Cricetulus griseus: one gene and its partners. The protein of the gene in region 1 interacts with the protein of each later gene in a pairwise test. Links are inferred from orthologs where the notes say so. Each region holds a gene or a part of one and is shown in the gene's direction. Other genes may lie near its edges. The genes, in order: Pnma1, Sema4c and Atp5po.

Evidence for each region.
Region 2: the proteins of Pnma1 (region 1) and Sema4c interact in binary tests that used the Homo sapiens proteins (3 or more experiments, as listed by UniProt). The two-hybrid records come from large-scale screens. The link is inferred for Cricetulus griseus from reciprocal best matches to the Homo sapiens genes PNMA1 and SEMA4C.
Region 3: the proteins of Pnma1 (region 1) and Atp5po interact in binary tests that used the Homo sapiens proteins (3 or more experiments, as listed by UniProt). The two-hybrid records come from large-scale screens. The link is inferred for Cricetulus griseus from reciprocal best matches to the Homo sapiens genes PNMA1 and ATP5PO.

The regions. Positions count from the first base shown.
Region 1 is NC_048598.1:119,613,799-119,617,545, forward strand, and holds Pnma1 (paraneoplastic antigen Ma1), read left to right. Parts: upstream 1-1,089; 5' UTR 1,090-1,755; coding exon 1,756-2,817; 3' UTR 2,818-3,544; downstream 3,545-3,747.
Region 2 is NW_023276807.1:11,637,831-11,640,856, forward strand, and holds part of Sema4c (semaphorin-4C), read left to right. Parts: intron 1-152; coding exon 153-215; intron 216-341; coding exon 342-440; intron 441-590; coding exon 591-687; intron 688-818; coding exon 819-935; intron 936-1,027; coding exon 1,028-1,179; intron 1,180-1,263; coding exon 1,264-1,439; intron 1,440-1,763; coding exon 1,764-1,908; intron 1,909-2,007; coding exon 2,008-2,230; intron 2,231-2,323; coding exon 2,324-2,436; intron 2,437-3,026.
Region 3 is NC_048597.1:5,849,219-5,852,965, forward strand, and holds the start of Atp5po (ATP synthase subunit O, mitochondrial), read left to right. Parts: upstream 1-1,492; 5' UTR 1,493-1,507; coding exon 1,508-1,672; intron 1,673-3,747. UniProt on the Homo sapiens protein: Subunit OSCP, of the mitochondrial membrane ATP synthase complex (F(1)F(0) ATP synthase or Complex V) that produces ATP from ADP in the presence of a proton gradient across the membrane which is generated by electron transport complexes of the respiratory chain.

The DNA.
Region 1 (3,747 bases):
AGAGATCCGCCTGCCTCTGCCTCCCGAGTGCTGGGATTAAAGGAGTTTGCCACCAATGCCCGGCGCCATATTCTTTTTTTTGTAACGATTTGTTTATTTTTATTTTATTTGCATTTGTGTTCTGTGTCTGCATGTGTATCAGTGTGAGGTTGTTAGATCTTTGGGAACTGGGGTTACCGACAGGTGTGAGCTGCCATGTGGGTTCGGGGAATTGAACCCAGGTCCTTTGGAATAGCAGCCAATGCTCCTAACCAGTGAGCCTTCTATCCAGCCCCCAATGCCATATCTTTATAGGGGTGGGGTTTGTGTGTTTATTTATTTATTTGATTTTTTGAGGCAGGGTTTCTCTGTGTAGTTTTGGAGCCTGGCCGGGAACTCAATTTATAGATCAGGTTTGCCTTGAACTCACAAAGCTCCTCCTGCCTCTGCCTCCCGAGTGCTGGGATTAACGGCATGGGCCACCAAGGCCCGCCTGATTTATAGGGATGTTTTTGCCAGCTGGGATTGACAGGCCTTGCTTGAAGAGAATTTACCCTACCTTTCTGAGCCTTAAGCATTCTCTTTTGTTATCCTGTATACTCAGTAAGATCAAGAAATGAAAGTGTTTGCAGTTTGCCTGGCTACAAAGAAGTAGCAGCAGCAGCATTTTGTTGGTTTTTTTTATATATATATATACAAAATTTAGGCAAGAAAGCATAGTAAGTCTCACAGGAACCTGGAGATGGCATTCTGTCTTTTGCTTTCCTGGGGAGGAGCAAGCAGCAGCTGTGGTGTGTGGTCAGGAGGTACGCAGAAGTCAGAGTGCTGAGTGTTTTCATGGGCTGCATAGTGAATGCATAAGCTGGATGAGCAACATGAGACAGACAAGTCTGTCGTGGTGGATGCGTATCAATAAGGCCAACTTAAATTCACAGCAAAATTAGATTAAGAAAAAAAGAAAACGATGCTTTGCAATATTTATTGTTAAGAAAGAAGCTGGGAAATACGTGTGTGTGTGTGTGCGCGCGCGCGCGCGCCATCACAAAATAGACTCCTCAACCCCTCGGTACCATAGCAACCGCCAGATCCTCTGGAGCTCGCGCATCTCCCGTCGTCATGGATACGGTTGCCACGGCGACACTGACGAGCGGACCGGCCCCGCCCTGCACTGCAGCTGCACGGCGGCGGCCGTTGCGGGAGCGCGCTGCTCTAGACGCTGAGCGGAGCTGCCTCCATCCGGCCTCCCGCCTTCCGCGCCTCCCTGAGGCCTCCGTCCCCGGTGCTCGCCTGCTGCCGCAGCCGCCGGACCCGAGTACCGCCTCTCCCGGCGTCTTCCCAGCCACTGCCTCGCGTGACCCTACGCCCGCGCCTACCGCCGGCCGGCCGGCCCGAGAGCGGCGGGGGGGAGCTGCCACACCCCGCGACCGCACCCGGCCGTCTCCCTCGTGAAGCTGAAGCCCACCGCCTTGCGCCAACCTTGCTTCTCCCCTGCCCGCCGTGAGGCCACGAATAGCTGCGGCCAGCCCGCACCTGCTCGGACCAAAGAGGGCGACATTCGATAGGCAGAGTGCCCCGAGGCACCTGACACTACTGACTTTGGGACCCGGAAGGGACGAGACTGGACTCCGGTGTCACTGGTAATTGTGGTTGCTTGAAGCTTGTCGCCCCCTGGCCTACCCGGGGGAGGGAGGCATGTTGTATTGTCCTAGGTCCTATAGCACTGCGAGCCAGTCCAGTCGGTGTCTGTAGAACTGGCACCCTTAATAGTGGGGCGAAATGGCTTTGACGCTCTTGGAAGACTGGTGCAGGGGAATGGATGTGAACTCTCAGAGAGCTCTGCTGGTCTGGGGGATCCCTGTGAACTGTGATGAGGCTGAAATCGAAGAGACCCTCCAAGCTGCCATGCCCCAAGTGCCCTACCGAGTACTGGGGAGAATGTTCTGGAGGGAAGAAAATGCGAAGGCAGCCTTGTTAGAGCTCACCGGGGAAGTGGATTACTCCCTGATCCCTAGAGAGATGCCAGGCAAAGGAGGGCTCTGGAAAGTGTTCTTTAAGCCCCCCACTTCTGATGCGGAGTTTCTGGAGAGGCTGCACCTCTTTCTAGCTAGGGAAGGGTGGACTGTGCAAGATGTTGCTCGTGTGCTTGGGTTTCAGAACCCTGCTCCCGCTCCAGGCCCAGAAATGCCAGCAGAGATGCTCAATTATATTTTGGATAATGTTATTCAACCTCTTGTTGAGTCCATATGGTATAAGAAGCTGACGCTATTCTCTGGGAGGGACATTCCCGGGCCTGGCGAGGAGACCTTTGATTCCTGGCTGGAGCACTCGAATGAGGTCATAGAAGAATGGCAGGTGTCTGATATAGAAAAGAGACGGCGGTTGATGGAGAGTTTGAGAGGCCCTGCTGCTGATGTCATTCGCATCCTCAAGACCAACAACCCAGCCATAACCACCGCGGAATGCCTGAAGGCTCTTGAGCAGGTGTTTGGGAGCGTGGAGAGCTCTAGAGATACACAGGTCAGATTTCTGAACACTTACCAGAACCCCGGGGAAAAGTTGTCATCTTACGTCATTCGTCTGGAGCCTCTGCTACAAAAGGTAGTGGAAAAGGGGGCCATTGATAAAGATAACGTGAACCAGGCTCGCCTGGAGCAGGTCATCGCCGGGGCCAACCACAGTGGGGCCATCCGAAGGCAATTGTGGCTGACTGGGGCTGCGGAACGACCGGCACCCAACCTCTTCCAGTTGCTGGTGCAGATTCGAGAGGAGGAAGCCAAGGAGGAGGAAGAGGAAGCTGAGGCAGCCCTTTTGCAGCTAGGCCTGGAGGGGCACTTCTGAGTCCCTGGATCAGTCTGGCTGCTTTTGTTATCCCTGTGCGGTTTTACAAGCCTTGCCTCTCATAGTAAAGACCTAGCCTCCTGTTTTTGTTTTGTTTTCTGGGGGATGGGATAGGGGAGTCAGGCCTGCGTATTTGTGTAGCAGTCACAGAATTGCGTGATTGGCCAGGGCTGCAACAGTAGAGGTGGTTCATACTGCCTAAAATGAATGCTTGATGCAAGCCCTCCTAGTGACATCTTTGACAGTTGTGAAAAATGTGAAGCTGAGACACTTCCTGTCAGGATGATTGTGAAAGTGCAAGCCTGCTTCACAGGCTGTATGGTACAGACTGACATTTGTTACTAATATTGTGGATAGTTTTACTGTACATTGTCCCTAATTTATATACATGGGAAGAATATGAGTCTGTTAGATGATACTGCTCATTTTGAAAATTCAGATTTCTCATTCCTCACGGCTCAACATCAGAACCAGTTTACCAGCAAAGTACTCTAGGATTAAAATTGGCAAGTTAGAAAAATGTGATTTTTATGAAGAGGCACAACCTACTTTTCATGGTGTAAGATACAAATATAAGTCAGGGGGAATTTCCATAAACAAGCTACATTTTCCCCACATGAATTATTTGTCATTTAATTATTGGTCATGTTGATGCTAAGTGTTCTAAATTTGAAGTTATCAAATAGATGTATACAAATAAAAATGTGAAAATTCTCATCTTGCTTTTCCTGACATGTATAAAAAATTTTCAGTGTAACTTAGCTCTGCACATTTTTTCTCTGCACATTTTTGCTCATGTCAAAAAATTTTTTAATCTCCTTGCTATGAGCTTAAATTGCAATATCACCTACACATTCTTGTGTTGCCGGTTCCTCGGTTATTGTTTTGTTTCTTTTTCACGGTCCCACTCGATAGCTAGCTGAGGCTGGC
Region 2 (3,026 bases), on another chromosome or scaffold:
ATCCCTTTGGGTTCTGCCAGGAGGGATAATTTCGGGCTTGTGTCAGAATGGGGACCAGGTGTGTCACCTGTGGTATATAGCTCAAGCTGTGTTTGCGGCACATACTTAACACATGCCTGTGACATGGCTGATATGTCATTTCCCATCCTCAGATCACCTGGAGGGCCCCGACTGAGAAGAAGATTGAGTGTACCCGGAAAGGGAAGAGCAACCAGGTGGGTGTCAGGGCACTTCCCCTGCCAGACCTCTGTGGCATGTTCGCCTCCCTGGCCTCTGGACCCTGGTGATCCTGCGTCTCTGATTCTCAGTGCTCACTAACTTGTATACCTTTCTCTCTGAAGACCGAGTGCTTCAACTTCATCTGCTTCCTTCAGCCATACAATACCTCCCACCTGTACGTCTGTGGTACCTATGCCTTCCAGCCCAAGTGCACCTACATCGTGAGTGTTACCCTCCCTCTTTGGGTGTGTCCCTTACCCACCTGCCCCTAATTTCTGTGACTTCCTTCCTTGGACTCTCGAGACCAGGATTTTTCAGGCCGAGCAGGGCCCCCATATTAATGCCTGTCTTCCATGTCTTCCTGCCCCTAGAACAAGCTCAGTTTCAAATTGAAGCGTGAAGAACTTGAGGATGGGAAGGGTAAATGCCCCTATGACCCAGCTAAGGGCCACACTGGACTCCTTGTGGGTGAGTGGCTACCCTTCAGTACAGACAGGGTAAACCTCATGGGACTTTAGTCACATTCCGGATACTTGTCTCCAGAGTACATCCGTACCTTACTTTTCTGGCTTAGTTGACCTGCCATTTGTCTCTTCTAGACGGTGAGATGTTCTCAGCCACACTCAACAACTTCCTGGGTACAGAGCCTATTATCCTGCGAAACATGGGCCCCCACCACCCCGTCAAAACAGAGTACCTGGCGTTTTGGCTGAATGGTGAGTCATGGAGTGGGATTGGGGAAGCCGAGAGTGGAAGGGCCTTCAAAGGCCCTGGCACCCTGCCACTGACCTTCCTTACTTTGCCCCAGAACCCCACTTTGTAGGCTCTGCCTATGTCCCTGAGAGTGTGGGGAGCTTCACGGGGGACGATGACAAGGTCTACTTCTTCTTCAGTGAGCGGGCGGTCGAGTATGACTGCTATGCTGAGCAGGTGGTGGCTCGTGTGGCTCGCGTCTGTAAGGTACCAAGTTCCGCAGTGGTGGGCAGTGGGAGCCCTGAAGGCTTGGCAGGGGCTGACCAGCCATGTCTCCTTGCCATCTGCCAGGGCGACATGGGGGGCGCACGGACCCTACAGAAGAAGTGGACAACTTTCCTAAAAGCACAGTTGGCGTGCGCAGCCCCTGACTGGAAGGTCTACTTCAACCAGCTTCGGTCAGTGCACACCCTGCTGGGTGCCTCTTGGCAAAACACCACCTTCTTTGGGGTTTTTCAAGCACGGTGGTAAGTAGCTCTGGCGTTGTTGGGGGTAGGGAGGAGCAGGTGGTCAGGTCGGAGATGGTGTGTGGGTGTGAGGGCCTGCACAGGTCTCTGGAGGAAGTCCAGCTGGTCAGTGCCTGGCAGCCAAGATCACTCTGGCTTGCTCTTTTTAAAGCTCTGTGGGGGAGAGGAGCAGAAACTGCCTCAGGTGTTACCTCAGAGCCACCTCATGGCCATGACTGCTCCATCTCGAGCCCTGCCTTCTTAGTGCTTCCTCTGGAGCTGGGGTGTGGTGCGGGCAAGTAGGCACCAGACCCGACATTCAAGGTCCTTCCTTTGCTGTACCAGGGGTGATATGGACCTGTCAGCAGTCTGTGAGTACCAGTTGGAACAGATCCAGCAGGTGTTCGAGGGTCCCTACAAAGAATACAGTGAGCAAGCCCAGAAATGGGCCCGCTATACTGACCCAGTACCCAGCCCTCGGCCCGGTTCGGTGAGTCTTCCGCATGGGGCTGTGTTCCCAACGTCAGCTCCAAGACCCATTCATTCACCCAGCTGATGGCTCTCTTCCCATATCCCTCCCCCCACACAGTGCATCAACAATTGGCACCGCCACAACGGCTACACCAGTTCTCTGGAGCTGCCTGACAACATCCTCAACTTCATCAAAAAGCACCCCCTGATGGAGGATCAGGTGCAGCCTCGGTGGGGCCGCCCCCTGCTTGTGAAGAAGAACACTAACTTCACACACATGGCAGCCGACAGGGTCACAGGGCTCGATGGTGCCACTTATACAGTGCTGTTCATTGGTACAGGTAGGCTCTTTGGGTGTGCCAAGGCTGGGAGCCTGGGGGTGCCCCAGGCCTGAGGCCTCATCATTAACACACCCCTCCTCATCACCTCTCCAGGAGATGGCTGGCTGCTGAAGGCTGTGAACCTGGGGCCCTGGATCCATGTGATAGAGGAACTGCAGGTGTTTGACCAGGAGCCAGTGGGAAGTCTGGTGCTGTCTCAGAGCCAGGTAGTAGGATGAACCACACAGATTCCCCACTGCCCTCTGCATCACCATCCATCTCACACCCAGTCTTTCTGCTTCCCTAATCGGGCTCATGTGATTGGCCAGCTCAGGACTCCTCACTTAGCGCTTGTGAGTTCCAGGGAGTAAGAGCACTAACACACCGGAACCTGCCCTCCAAGAGTTCTTATATGGAGCCAGTCCCTGTGGGGCCCCCATTCCCAGAATCCAGCCTTGGCAAATGCACTGATGTTTTCTTCAGGCCCTTCCAAGTGGGTCTGGGGCTTTGCCTGTAACCTCTTCTCAGTCATTGACCAGACCTCCCAGACTCCAAGATGTTTTTGGTACCCATGCATCAGGGACATCAGTTTTCTTCTAGTTCCCAGTGGGTCTCTGTCAGGCCCTCAATTTCCTGGATCATTTCCTTGAAGCATTTGCTTTTTTTTTTTTTACCTTCATACAAAACTGGCATATCCACAGTACCCTCTGGACTTTGATTTGTTTGCCTTTTAGCAGTTATCATGACTCAAAGTTGTTGTTCTCCAATCTTTGAATAATGAAATGGCAGCAAGGAAAAGTGTGGGGTGGAGCAAACA
Region 3 (3,747 bases), on another chromosome or scaffold:
ACATCCTTTCCTGGTCTCTCAGACAATATGCACACACATACATAACACACAAACATAGATGCAGGCAAATACTGACACATAAAATAATTCTTTGCCGGCGTTGGTGGCACACGCCTTTAATCCCAGCACTCGGGAGGCAGAGGCAGGCAGATCTCTGTGAGTTCAAGGCCAGCCTGGTCTCCAGAGTGAGTGCCAGGACAGGCTCCAAAGCTGCACAGAGAAACCCTGTCTCAAAAAGCCAAGATAAATAAATAAATAAATAAATAAACTAATTCTTTAAAGACTGTATTCACAGCCCATATATAATTCCATATCCATTTTCCCCTCATATTAAGGCGAAAGAGAAGACACTAAAGTATATAGATAGATAGCTAGATAGATAGATAGACAGACAGATAGATAGATTGTGAATCTCTGTATAAAAAGCACAAACACAAAATGAAGAATTCTGTCAACTATGTACTCATATGTGCTAACATAAATAAATATGTTAAATTTCCTAACATAGTGTAAGGCAGGTACTACACTACTATAATAACAATTTTATAGCTAAGAAAATTGAGGCACAGAAAACTTGTGTGATTATACCAAGGTTACAAAGCTATTAAGATTCAAACCTGGGCACTCTGCCGCCTAAAAAATTTTTTTTCGGTAAACACTTCACCATGATGTTGCCTCTGGGTGGTAGAAAATATCTCTCCATTAAAAAAAGTAATAAAGAAAATGTTATACCCTAAAAGGACAAATCAACTAAATGTATTCCTCTACTAAATCTGAGCAGAAAGCTTTTTTTTTTTTTTTTTTTTTTTTTTTCATGTATAGTGTTCTGTCTGTATGTCTGCTTGCACACCAGCAGAGGGCACCAGATCTCATAACGGATGGTTGTGAGCCACCATGTGGTTGCTAGGAATTGAACTCAGGACCTCTGGAAGAGCAGCCAGTGCTCTTAACCTCCGACAGCTTTTTTCTTTTCTTTTCTCTTTTCTTTTTTTAAGTTTATTCACGCGTTAGAACCAGGAACCCCTGTAGCCGGATCTTTGCTGTGAAGGAGGAAACTGAGAGCCGGCCGGCTGTGCGGACGCAAGGCTCGAGCCAGCTGGCTTTTGACTTTCTGCGTCATCTTTGATTAGAAGCTGGTTCTGGTTCTGATCTCTACCCTGATTGCACACACCGTCCAAGTGTGACAAGCCGCGGAAGGAGCGGGAGAGAACCGGCCCGGGAAGCCTGTCCCAGGAGTGCCCCGCTGCGGGGGTTCGCTCGTGCTTTTGGCTTTCATTTGTTTAAGCGAAGCACGAAGCCTGGCCAGTGAAGCAGGCTACGACACACGGACACACTACACACTACACACTACACACTACGAGGCAACGACACCGGTGATGAGTGTGCAAAGCATCTAAGTGGAAACCCTAAACTAAAGACCGCACATCCACTCCACACGAAGACCCGCTCCGCCAGTAATTGAAGATTTAGTTGGGACGCCCGGCTCCTATGGACTACAACTCCCAGCATGCAAGAGGTTTCCACCCATGCGCCCTGGCACCCGGGGAGCCCATTTCCCAGAGAGCTGAGCGGCCACGCCGGCGCGCGCGTGCGCTCTGGCACCTGTGGGCGCCGCTTGGGAGTGACCTACCTCCGCCGGGGAAAGATGGCCGCGTGCGGGCTGTCCCGACAGGTACAAGGAGCCGGCGGGGGCCCCTGCCCGGGAGCCGGCCCCGGGCCCCGGCGCCGCGTGCGAGGCCGCGGCTGAAGGGTCAGACCGCCCGCCCACCAAGGGCCGTGGAGGTCGGGGAGCGGGCTTGCGCCGTCCTGACCTTGACTTCGGCCGGGGGTCACTGCCAAGGGGCAGCGGGGAAGGCCGCGCGGGCCGCGCCTGTGTGTGAGCCTGTGTGGGGGCTCGCCCGTGTGTGTGTCAGCCTGTGTGTGTGTCAGCCTGTGTGTGAGCCTGAGTGTGTGTCAGCCTGTGTGTGTGTCAGCCTGTGTGTGTGTCAGCCTGTGTGTGTGTGAGCCCGTGTGTGTGTCAGCCTGTGTGTGTGTCAGCCTGTGTGGGGGCTAACCCGTGTGTGAGCCCGTGTGTGTGTCAGCCTGTGTGTGTGTGAGCCCGTGTGTGTGTCAGCCTGTGTGTGTGTGAGCCCGTGTGTGTGTCAGCCTGTGTGTGTGAGCCTGAGTGTGTGTCAGCCTGTGTGTGAGCCTGTGGTGTGTCTAGCCCCTGTCAGCCTGTGTGTGTCAGCCCGCGTGTGTCAGCCTGTGTGTGTTCAGCCTGTGTGGGGCTCGCCCGTGTGTGTGTCAGCCTGTGTGTGTGTGAGCCTGTGTGTCAGCCTGAGTGTGTGTCAGCCTGTGTGTCAGCCTGTGTGTGTGTCAGCCTGTGTGGGGGCTAGCCCGTGTGTGTGTCAACCTGTGTGTGTGTCAGCCTGTGTGGGGGCTCGCCCGCGTGTGTGTCAGCCTGTGTGTGTGTCAGCCTGTGTGTGTGTCAGCCTGAGTGTGTGTGTCAGCCTGTGTGTGTGTCAACCTGTGTGGGGGCTAACCCGTGTGTGAGCCCGTGTGTGTGTCAGCCTGTGTGTGTGTGAGCCCGTGTGTGTGTCAGCCTGTGTGTGTGAGCCTGTGTGTGTGTGAGCCCGTGTGTGTGTCAGCCTGTGTGTGTGTGAGCCCGTGTGTGTGTCAGCCTGTGTGTGAGCCTGTGTGTGTCAGCCTGTGTGTGTGTCAGCCTGTGTGTGTGTCAGCCTGTGTGGGGGCTAGCCCGCATGTGTGTCAGCCCGTGTGTGTGTCAGCCTGTGTGGGGGCTAGCTCGTGTGTGTGTCAGCCTGTGTGTGTGTGAGCCCGCGTGTGTGTCAGCCTGTGTGTCAGCCTGTGTGCTAGGTGTGTGTGTCAGCCTGTGTGTGAGCCCGTGTGTGAGCCTGAGTGTGTGTCAGCCTGTGTGTGAGCCCGTGTGTCAGCCTGTGTGTGTGTGTCAGCCGTGTGTGTGTCAGCCTGTGTGTGTGTCAGCCTGTGTGTCACCTGTGTGGGGGCTAACCCGTGTGTGAGCCCGTGTGTGTGTCAGCCTGTGTGTGTGAGCCCGTGTGTGTGTCAGCCTGTGTGTGTGTGAGCCCGTGTGTGTGTCAGCCCGTGTGTGTGTGAGCCCGCGTGTGTGTGTGAGCCCGCGTGTGTGTCAGCCTGTGTGTGTGTGAGCCTGTGTGTGTCAGCCTGTGTGTGTGTCAGCCTGTGTGTGTGTCAGCCTGTGTGGGGGCTAGCCCGCATGTGTGTCAGCCCGTGTGTGTGTCAGCCTGTGTGGGGGCTAGCTCGTGTGTGTGTCAGCCTGTGTGTGTGTGAGCCCGCGTGTGTGTCAGCCTGTGTGTCAGCCTGTGTGGGGGCTAGCTCGTGTGTGTGTCAGCCTGTGTGGGGGCTAACCCGCGTGTGTGTCAGCCTGTGTGTGTGTGAGCCTGTCTGGGGGCTCGCCCGTGTGTGTGTCAGCCTGTGTGTGTGTGAGCCTGTGTGGGGGCTAGCCCGCGTGTGTGTCAGCCTGTGTGTGAGCCTGTGTGTGTGTCATCCTGTGTGTGTGTCAGCCTGTGTGTGAGCCCGTGTGTGTGTCAGCCTGTGTGTGTGTCAGCCCGTGTGTGTGTGAGCCTGTGTGGGGGCTAGCCCGCGTGTGTGTCAGCCTGTGTGTGAGCCTGTGTGTGTGTCAGCCTGTGTGTGTCAGCCTGTGTGTGAGCCCGTGTGTGTGTCAGCCTGTGTGTGTGTCAGCCGTGTGTGTGTGAGCCTGTGTGGGGGCTAGCC